Arabidopsis thaliana: one gene and its partner. The protein of the gene in region 1 purifies or fractionates together with the protein of each later gene. This does not show direct contact. Each region holds a gene or a part of one and is shown in the gene's direction. Other genes may lie near its edges.

Region 1 (6,940 bases):
TGTTTTTTTTACGGCAACAAAGATATATCAAAACACAAATTGCAACACTAAAAATCATGTGTTTTATTGGTGCCTTATATAACAAATGAAACCTTACCCGAAAGGTTTAGCATATATGACATCCAGACAAGAGAAAACGTAATTCATCATTTTCGTTATCTAACATACAAGAATCAAAACAAGATTTCACATTAACAAAGATAAAGTGTACATAGTTGAGGAAAATAAAGGTAAAGATAAAGTGTAGACAATATTCAAAAGGGTGGTTGTCCAACAATGTTACCAGGAGGATCATAGTTACAAATAATAAATGTGTCACCGGTCTTGCAAAAACTGATTGCACACCCAATCCTCGAACTCTTCTTCCATACAAGTTGCGTGTAATGCAAACAATCCCCATTCGCCTTGCAGTGGGAAGTCCTCCGGTCATAGTATTTCATCTCCGAGGCCCATGCAGCCACCGCATCCCGTGGAGTCCAACCTTTTCCGCTTCCCCAGAAGAGATTCTCCCCGTAAGGTCCCCCGGAGTGGATAAGTTTGCAATCTCCACGGCGGGTTCTGGCCCACCGGCTCGCATAGAGGGCGAGGCTATTGCTCCATTTGAGAGGAGGGAGACGAAGCTTGGCTCGTAAGATGTTGTGTGGTCGGAGAAACTGCTGCTGAATGGTGTTGCGGGCTAGAGCTTTGTCTTGAGAAAAAATTAGTGTTGATGTTGTCGGTGTTCTGTTTGATGGGATTTGAAAAGAGAGAGAAGGAAGTGGAGTGCTGATAACTATGATAATGATGATGAATATCAGAGTTTTTTGTTCCATTGGGATGCTAAGTTAGATTTGTTTCTGAGCCTCTAGATCTAGCTAGTACGATCCTTACCATATATATATACACACACACACATAATTGTTTATGCTTTCATATTTGTACGTATATATCATCTAACGAATCTAAACACATGCTATGTTAATAATGCGCAATGACAAGTGCTAATCATTTCGGTGGAACATTGATTATTTGTAGGGAATGATTTTATTCAAACAAAGCATACATTATTGAGCTAATTAATAGATCATTATATATGAAGGAAGTTTTAATAGGATGTTTTCTTTTTTTCTTGTAAGAAGAGACTTTATCATAGCAACGAGAATATATCCCAAGCATAAAACATTATATACAAACTCATTCAAATGAAAACCTAAGTTAGATATTTAATTTGACCACTCTTAAAATACTTGTTTAGTTATAACATGTTTACTATGCAGATTTATGAGGCGTATCAGATGGTGTGCTAGAGAACGTGATACAAATTTGGATGCCTTGTTTTCAAGAAATCTTATACATTCCTTGGAGATCAATTTGTATTGTGAGGCTTATAGTCATTGAGCTTACCGTTGATTAACTAAATTTATATTATATAGAACATCAAATAGACGAAAAAAATCAATTTAGTTGACCACCGTTTGTTAGCTAGGTTATAAACTCTGACCCAAAGTGTCCTATGCTTTCAGTATTCAGTTTATTTTATAACGTGTGGGGTCGTTTTGGAAACAATTAAAACAATAGGGGCTATATTTTTCTCAAGTTCTGTTGGACTGGGCTTGTCGTTAATCAATATTTGGGCTTTTGAGGTTGACTCGCTTTTTTCCGTTCTTCGTTTTCCAAAATCAAACCCAAAAGGATTTGGAGGAGTTAATTCACCTGACGAATCCACCACCATAATATTAAGCACATTTGATCTCTCACTTCCTTGGTGCGAGTGTTTTGTTTTCCGAGATCCAAAATCTTCTCTTGGATCCAAAGCTGTGTTACTGTGGATCTCCTCCTCCTCTCTCCCTGGATCTCGTACCTTTGAGGTTTGTCTCTCTGTGTTAAACTTGCGACTCAGATTTCATAGAGATCGATCCCACTTTTGCCTTTTCCTTTGTGAAAATCTACAATGTTCAATTATTCTCTGGCGCTCTTTGTTTGATCTCGTTGAATATTGATCTGATTCCGGTAGGAAACCGATTTTCATGTTTGTGCAGCTGAGTGAGACTGCGAATTATGTAGATTTCATTGTTTGTTCATCTAATCTGGGGAGATAGATCGCATTTTTTTTTTTTTTGAATTTTGGTTGATCCGAAGCTGTTTTAACTGATTTTTCGTTTTTATGTTATTATTTTGGTCGTAGTTGTAGTACAGTGATGTGTATTGCTGGATCTGAGGATTTAGATTTGTCAATGTTTTGCATCTTTGGGTCTCTGATTGGACATTACCGAATATTCTTCTGAAATTATGATGTTTTCTCATAAACCACGGATTCGAGAATAGAGATCATGTATTCAATGTATTGAAATCCAAGCAGAGAGGTATGGATTATCGCCGATGATACTGTTGAACTTCTTGTATAGAACTTACTCTAGCACTGATGAGGACACTAGTAAGGTGCTTATATTCAGTAATTCGAACTTGAAATCGCCAGAAATATTAAAAGTTTTGATATCTTGTTTTTACTTGTGATCTATACTTCATTATGTCTTTAATCAATTGTAACAATTTTGCTCTATTCATCTTCTATTTCTTATATTAACAAAGGAACACTTGTTCGTGAATGGTTTTTCCTTTTCATTTGAGCTCACAGATTTTTTTCTCTTTCACTTTTTGTGCAGCACCGGAGAAGATGGACAAATCTAGTACCATGCTTGTTCACTATGACAAAGGGACTCCAGCAGTTGCTAATGAGATTAAAGAAGCTCTCGAAGGAAATGATGTTGAAGCTAAAGTTGATGCCATGAAGAAGGCAATTATGCTTTTGCTGAATGGTGAAACCATTCCTCAGCTTTTCATAACCATTATAAGATATGTGCTACCTTCTGAGGACCACACAATCCAAAAGCTTCTGTTGCTGTACCTGGAGCTGATTGAAAAGACTGATTCTAAGGGGAAGGTGTTACCTGAAATGATTTTGATATGCCAGAATCTTCGTAATAACCTTCAGCATCCTAATGAGTACATCCGTGGAGTGACACTGAGGTTTCTCTGCCGGATGAAGGAGACTGAAATTGTGGAGCCTTTAACTCCATCAGTGTTACAAAATCTGGAGCATCGCCATCCATTTGTTCGCAGGAATGCCATTCTGGCCATCATGTCGATATATAAGCTTCCACAAGGCGACCAACTCTTTGTGGATGCGCCTGAAATGATCGAGAAAGTTCTATCAACCGAACAAGATCCTTCTGCCAAGAGAAATGCATTTCTAATGCTCTTTACCTGTGCTGAAGAACGTGCAGTGAATTATCTTCTGAGCAATGTTGACAAGGTTTCAGACTGGAATGAATCACTTCAGATGGTGGTGCTGGAGTTGATTCGAAGTGTGTGTAAGACTAAACCAGCAGAGAAGGGGAAATATATTAAGATTATTATTTCTCTGTTAAGTGCTACTTCTTCTGCAGTTATCTATGAATGTGCTGGGACACTTGTTTCTCTCTCATCTGCCCCTACTGCGATTCGGGCTGCTGCCAACACCTACTGCCAACTTCTTCTTTCTCAGAGTGACAACAATGTGAAGCTTATTTTACTCGATCGGTTGTATGAGCTTAAGACATTGCACAGAGATATCATGGTTGAGTTGATAATAGATGTGCTCAGAGCACTCTCAAGCCCAAACCTTGATATCCGCAGGAAGACGCTTGACATTTCCCTTGACTTGATTACCCATCATAATATCAATGAGGTCGTTCAAATGTTGAAGAAAGAAGTTGTGAAGACACAGAGTGGAGAACTTGAGAAGAATGGGGAGTACAGACAAATGCTTATTCAAGCCATCCACGCTTGTGCAGTGAAGTTCCCCGAAGTTGCAAGCACAGTGGTCCACCTTCTGATGGACTTCTTGGGAGATAGCAATGTGGCTTCAGCTCTTGACGTGGTTGTTTTTGTTAGAGAGATAATAGAAACAAATCCCAAGTTAAGAGTTTCAATCATCACAAGGTTATTGGACACGTTCTATCAGATCCGAGCAGGAAAGGTCTGCCCTTGTGCCCTTTGGATAATTGGGGAGTATTGCCTATCACTTTCGGAAGTTGAGAGTGGCATTTCAACTATCACGCAATGCCTTGGCGAATTACCATTTTACTCTGTTTCTGAGGAGTCTGAGCCAACTGAGACATCAAAGAAGATTCAGCCTACCTCTTCTGCCATGGTGTCCTCTAGAAAGCCAGTGATTCTTGCTGATGGAACTTATGCTACCCAAAGCGCAGCCTCTGAAACCACATTCTCCTCACCTACAGTTGTTCAAGGATCACTGACTTCTGGAAATTTGAGAGCACTGCTACTAACTGGTGATTTTTTCCTCGGAGCAGTGGTTGCTTGCACGTTGACCAAACTTGTTCTTAGGTTAGAAGAGGTTCAGTCTTCTAAAACTGAAGTAAATAAGACAGTCACACAGGCTTTGTTGATCATGGTTTCTATGTTGCAACTTGGGCAATCTCCTGTTTCTCCACACCCTATTGATAATGATTCGTATGAGAGGATTGTGTTGTGCATAAAATTGCTTTGCCATAGGAATGATGAGATGAAAAAGATATGGTTAGAATCCTGCCGCCAGAGTTTTGTCAAGATGATTTCTGAAAAACAGCTTAGAGAGATGGAGGAACTGAAGGCGAAGACCCAAACAACGCATGCTCAACCTGATGATCTAATTGACTTCTTCCATCTAAAGAGTCGGAAGGTATTATTACTTCCTAAGCTTCCCTTTGCTTTATTGGGTTTTTTTTTCCATATGAGTTTTCCTTTTCAATCTGTTCAGTTCTGTTACGTTGGTGTCTACTTTTTCTTACAGTTCATATCCAATTTTTTTTTTCGCATTCTCAAAGAAAGTTCGAAAGTTGATAGTGGCATGTTATGTTTATTTATTTCGGTCAGTAGTTGAAATTACTGACGATAAGTTTCTTTCAGGGAATGAGTCAACTTGAGTTGGAAGACCAAGTACAAGATGACCTAAAGCGTGCAACTGGAGAATTCACCAAGGACGAGAACGATGCTAACAAACTTAACCGCATTCTTCAACTCACAGGATTCAGTGACCCAGTCTATGCTGAAGCATATGTGACGGTACACCATTATGATATTGCTCTTGAAGTTACAGTAATCAACCGAACCAAGGAAACCCTTCAGAACTTGTGCTTGGAGTTAGCAACCATGGGTGATCTCAAACTTGTTGAGCGTCCTCAGAACTACAGTCTGGCACCTGAAAGAAGCATGCAGATTAAAGCAAACATCAAGGTGTCGTCCACAGAGACGGGAGTCATATTCGGGAACATCGTCTATGAGACATCAAATGTAATGGAGCGAAACGTCGTTGTTCTTAATGACATACACATTGATATCATGGACTATATCTCCCCTGCTGTGTGTTCAGAGGTTGCTTTCAGAACTATGTGGGCAGAGTTCGAATGGGAAAACAAGGTAATTTATTGAAACCTTTTATAGTTGTACCTTCTTTTCGTATGTTTGTTGGAGTTTGGTATAACCAATTCCTGTTGTATTCTTTATGTCAGGTTGCTGTGAACACCACAATACAAAACGAAAGAGAATTCCTCGACCACATTATCAAATCTACAAACATGAAATGTCTCACTGCTCCGTAAGTGTAAATTCTTCTTTCATCCTGTAGAAACGAAAAACTCTTCTTACTAATTAATACTTCTTTACTTGCAGATCCGCAATAGAAGGCGAATGTGGATTCCTTGCAGCAAACTTATACGCAAAAAGTGTATTTGGTGAGGATGCTCTTGTGAATGTGAGTATTGAGAAGCAAACGGATGGAGCATTGAGTGGTTACATAAGGATAAGGAGCAAGACGCAAGGGATTGCCCTAAGTCTTGGGGACAAAATCACCCTCAAACAAAAGGGTAGTAGCTGAGGTTAGCTAATCTTTTCAAAACATATTCTATTTCTCGATTAATACATGTTTTAATCCTTAAACCGCAATTGGTCTAAATTTCAGTACCATACCGATGATTTCTCACAGTGGCGTGCAAAGGTAACAGGTTTAGACTACGTACGTTTCTCTTGAGCAATTATCGTTGGTTGAATCTGCTTATTATATGGAGGGAGGAGGCGTTCAAGGGTATATGTAAAAAGAGTAATTGGCTATCGTTCTTACTTAACCGGTATATTTTCTGGTATGGTACCGATGGATTTCTTCATCTCATATGGCAGTGTGTTTTTTACTGTACTAGACGATTTTGTTTTATTTGTAATGCTTTTTCTTCTATAATGTCGTTTGTTGAGGACTTTAAACCGTGAACTTTATGATATTGTAGATTTCAAAGCTACATTTGGTTTGCTCCATTTTAGAACTCGTCATTTCAGATTTGATCTCTATTCTTTTCTTTCATATGCATTTGAAGTGAACTATTCAATTGTCAAAGCTAGACTTTAATTTGCTAGTAGCTATATAATACGGGTTATGTTAGCAAGTAAGTTGTAATGAAACGCATGTATTAATATGGACCATATTCAAAATCTACAAGCCAAAGAAACCAATTGCTTCACAACCAAACCCATAACATTTGATTCTTACAGCCTTTTCTATTCTCAAGAAAACCAAGCAATAATTTTTAAGCAAAATTTAATAATCTTAAATCACTTGCCTCAAGGTACCAAGGGACGATCACATACACATTCGCGTAACTAGATATCGCTAACATCATTAGACAAGAAAATACTAGACGCGAGTAGAAGAGGAAAGATCCAAATACATCATCTTCTATCATAAAATCATCCATCTCTAACCGAAAGTTGGAGCACGTTTCAAGGAAAAACTGACATAATTCCTAATTACGCTCACTTTTAAAAGTTTGGGGTCGTTTTGGAAACAATAAAAAAGTAGGGGCTATGCTTTCTCAACTTCTATTGGACTGGGCTTGTCAACAATCAATATTTGGGCCTGCGAGGTTGACTCGCT
Region 2 (4,319 bases), on another chromosome or scaffold:
AAAAATTAAAACAAAATAAGTCATGCATCCCTCGTTCTACGGTGACGCATGTTGATGAACGGATTCTATAAAAATAGTAATATTTAATATCTGTTATCCAGTCAGATATATTTAAAACAATATAAGAATTTAAATTGACAAAGAAAGATAAATCTGATTAACCACGGAATATGTGTGTTTAGATTGGTAACGTATGATTAGACACATCAATGCTATTTAAAAGATGCATATGATGATAACTTTTAGAAGTGAGAAGGCCTTTGGATTATTAGGGATTACAAATAGTAAACTTATTATAGATTACTTGAGAAAAGAGATTCATTAAAACAAAATTTGCATAAAGTAAGAACCAAACTAGAGGAGCTTATTCCAAGAAGATGCATTTTACATTTAAAAGGTGCATGTAATTAATGTCTGATAACCATAACTCATTAATTATTCTAATTCAGCTAAAAGCGAGCCTAAACCCATTACACAGAGAATTGCACGAATCACAAGTACACAAATTGATAGAACATTTAGACTTTAGAGGTTGATATTTTTTGATAAACTATAGTATTGATTTATGTTATTAATTGGGTTGTGTAGCACGAGGACTTCTTTGAACATGTGAAATGAATATTGACTTTACGTAAAATCGACCATGCCCTTTAAGTGTTCCTCAAGTTCATACAAAAACAACAGTCATACTCTTATATGTATATTATAACATGATTTAAATTTGAACTATGTTTATTTAACTATATCCTATATATAATTATTACGATTGAGAGATGAGAAAGTTTGTTACAGATGAAGAAGAAGATATTTTCCCCTTAAATTTCTGTAAATGTATTTTGTACAAGTATATATACGATGACAATACAACCGGTTAATATAACCCGCGTAATACAAAATCAATTAAACCGATAAATTAAATCAACACTCTCTGATATGACCCCTCAATATGAGGATTCGAAAATGTTGAGAATGCTCATCTTGGACTTTAGATGTTCAAACTGATGTGAGAACAAATGTTTAGCAAAATATCAGCTATTTGATCATCCGTGGGAACATGAAGCAGTTTAAGCTCACCATCATCCAACTTGTCACGCACGGTATGGCAGTCAATCTCAATATATTTCGTGCTCTCATGGAAGATATAATTGATTGCAATATAGATAACATCTGTACTGTCTGAAAACAAGATAAGAATCGAAGTAGTATCCGTTTAAGATACGAGCAATGTATGCAACCAAACCAACTCACAAGTAGCAAGAGCTAATGCTCAGTATCTAGAAATAACATGTTGCTTCTTAGATCGACATGAGATGATTTATGAAGAAATTTGAGCTTTGATGGCTCTAATACCATATTACGATCGAGAGATAAGAAAGTTTGTTACAGATGAAGAAGAAGATATTTTCTGATTAAATTTCCGTAAATGTATTTTGTACAAGTATATATACAATGACTATTCAACCGATTAACATCACCGTAATACAAAATCATCTAGACCGATAAAACTAACCTAACACATTCTGATAATAACAAATATGAATTTATTGATTTTCTTTTAATTAAGAATAGCTCGTTCAACCAAATGTTGACATCTTTTTTTTTTTTGAACACTACCAAATGTAGACATCTAGTACACTAATTCAACCATGTCTGTCGTCTAATACTATTTCGAGTAGTGTGTGATATGCTTAATATATAAAAAAAACTTGTTCACGTTTCTGATTTTAAAACATAGACTGACCAAAAGCTCACAACACACAACTAGATATAAAGCCCAGGAGTCAAACAAAGAACCTGATTCGTTATTTTGCCGCACAAGGCCCAAATCAAATTAGTGATGTTACTTGAACAGTTCAAAAAGAACTGGGATTATTATGCATTCAGTTTATAACTTAAGGGGTTATTATGTTATTAACCCGTTTACTTTCGTTTGGATTTTGGAATTAGACGCGAAGCTGTGAAATCTAGAAGAAGAAGAAGAAGAAGAAGAAGAAGAAGAAGAAGAAGAAGAAGAAGAAGAAGAAGAAGAAGAAGAAGAAGAAGAAGCAATGTCAGCCATGGGAGCAGGACCAGATCACCTCTTCAACCTCAGAAACAATTTCTATTTGGGAGCTTATCAAACGGCGATCAACAACAGCGAGATCGCCAACCTCTCGCCGGAAAACGCCGTGGAACGTGACTGTCTCGTCTTCCGATCTTACATCGCCCTCGGTAGCTATCAGGTTACTTCTCTAATCATATCGATAATGTCTTCTTCTTTAGATTCGATTACGTTTTGTTTTGATCTGTTCTTCCAAATTTTGGTGTGTATAAGCTTGTTATCAGTGAGATCGATGAATCAGCCGCTACTCCACTACAAGCAGTCAAACTCCTCGCTATGTATCTATCGACTCCTCAAAATAAGGTAATTACGGCTTTGATTCGTGTTCACGAAACATGTTGTAAAGAGATTCAAATGCTTATATGGAACGATTGTTATTGGTTCAGGAATCAACAATTTCAAGCTTGAAGGAATGGTTAGCAGATTCAACAATAGGAAACAATGATACATTACGATTGATTGCTGGTATTATTTTCATGCATGAAGAAGATTATAATGAAACTTTGAAGCATACTCATGCTGGAGGAACTATGGATTTGTAAGATTTTTTCGATTTTTATTTGGTGGATTGAGTATTTATACTGTGTTTTAAAACATGTTCTTAGATGGCTCATTGCTATTGTTTTTCTAGGTATGCCTTGAATGTTCAGATATTCATTAAGATGCATAGAGCAGAGTATGCTGAGAAGCAGCTTAGAGTGATGCAACAGATTGATGAAGACCACACTCTCACTCAACTTGCTAGCGCTTGGTTGAACCTGGCAGTGGTATAATGCGAAATATTCAATGTGTTCTGGCTTATTCTTTCAAAGAGTTGTGTATTTGCTTCTTATGCTAAGGCGTTATTTGATTTCAGGGCGGTTCGAAGATACAGGAAGCTTATCTCATTTTCGAGGATTTTTCTGAGAAGTACCCAATGACATGCTTGATCTTGAATGGCAAAGCTGTTTGCTGTATGCAAATGGGTAACTTCGATGAAGCTGAAACACTACTTCTTGAAGCACTCAACAAGGTAACTACAAATTAGGCTTGTGTACCTTAAATTTGCTCTGTACATTAGCATTCTCGGGAACAATATGAAACTAGGGACCTCTCTAAATTTCTCACACTGCACTTGTCTCTTGGCTTTTCTGTATATGGGGAAGTGTGTTTATACTAATTTGTGGTGATTGCAGGATGCTAAAGATCCAGAAACTCTTGCAAATCTTGTTGTGTGCAGTCTTCATGTCGGGAAGTCTTCTTCACGCCACCTAAGGTAAATTTTCATTATCTACTCTTATATTAGGCATCATTTGCCCAATCAATCAGTAGAACTCACTGAAAAGTTAATCGAGAGTAACTGTGTCCTTAATCCTAATAAAAACATTGGTCGGTCTCGTTTGTTAACTTCATTTGTATCACCTATCCTTCTTGCAGCCAGCTAAAACTTTCACACCCGGAACACATACTTGTGAAGCGTGTATCATCAGCTGAAGATAACTTCGAGAGAGCAGTTCAATTGGTCGCCTAAAGACTCTTCCATGGTTCAAGCTAAAAGACGTGCAGGATTTGTTTGCTTTACCGCATATTTTCACCGGGTTGGTAAATCTACCAGAACAACCATACTGTCTTGTCTTTTCGAAACCAGTATATGAACCAGCTTTTGCCATTAGATATGTTAAGTTACATTTCATTACTTGAAAATATCAAATTCCACCTCTCGCACTCTCAATTCCGTTTGTCATTTACTTAATTTCGAACCTAACCAATCCAGATCGTGTAACTCAACCCGAAACCTTGAGTGAATTCAACCGATCGTTTGAATCCAAACTAGAAATACCAAAACAAACAAAAGCTTCTCACTTGGAAATACTTCAATTTTTTTCCAACCAATGATTTTCACTTTTTACACAAAGAAGCGACATATGTCTTCCGTTAGGATTTTGATAAACCTCAATCACAATAAAATAGGTGATTGACATGGATGATATTTTATTAATCAATAATCTCATATATAATCTCTATATATGGATAAGATGAATACTATTCTACTAAGAATAAATCCATCTTCTTCTACTACCTTCACTACCATCTAGAATCAAGACTCTAATGAAGGAGTCCTTGAAGGGCAATGCTCACATACCTAATGCATAATGGTCAGTATGCAGAAACCAAGGAAGAAGATCCATAGCCACTGCGATGAAGCTTTTGCCATCTCCATGCCATCTTTAAACTTTCT

What was found.
Region 2: the proteins of AT4G31480 (region 1) and AT2G34840 fractionate together in Arabidopsis thaliana (co-fractionation; one large-scale study listed by BioGRID). This does not show direct contact.

The regions. Positions count from the first base shown.
Region 1 is NC_003075.7:15,261,492-15,268,431, forward strand, and holds AT4G31480 (Coatomer, beta subunit), read left to right. Parts: upstream 1-1,662; 5' UTR 1,663-2,584; coding exon 2,585-4,699; intron 4,700-4,926; coding exon 4,927-5,436; intron 5,437-5,528; coding exon 5,529-5,614; intron 5,615-5,688; coding exon 5,689-5,893; 3' UTR 5,894-5,894; intron 5,895-5,977; 3' UTR 5,978-6,400; downstream 6,401-6,940. Other genes in the region: AT4G31470 (CAP (Cysteine-rich secretory proteins, Antigen 5, and Pathogenesis-related 1 protein) superfamily protein), read right to left, coding at 255-812. UniProt on the Arabidopsis thaliana protein: The coatomer is a cytosolic protein complex that binds to dilysine motifs and reversibly associates with Golgi non-clathrin-coated vesicles, which further mediate biosynthetic protein transport from the ER, via the Golgi up to the trans Golgi network.
Region 2 is NC_003071.7:14,700,555-14,704,873, forward strand, and holds AT2G34840 (Coatomer epsilon subunit), read left to right. Parts: upstream 1-1,933; 5' UTR 1,934-2,048; coding exon 2,049-2,222; exon of another isoform or gene 2,223-2,314; coding exon 2,315-2,404; intron 2,405-2,487; coding exon 2,488-2,639; intron 2,640-2,732; coding exon 2,733-2,868; intron 2,869-2,957; coding exon 2,958-3,113; intron 3,114-3,276; coding exon 3,277-3,356; intron 3,357-3,517; coding exon 3,518-3,611; 3' UTR 3,612-3,817; downstream 3,818-4,319. Other genes in the region: MEE25 (NAD(P)-binding Rossmann-fold superfamily protein), read right to left, coding at 4,238-4,319. UniProt on the Arabidopsis thaliana protein: The coatomer is a cytosolic protein complex that binds to dilysine motifs and reversibly associates with Golgi non-clathrin-coated vesicles, which further mediate biosynthetic protein transport from the ER, via the Golgi up to the trans Golgi network.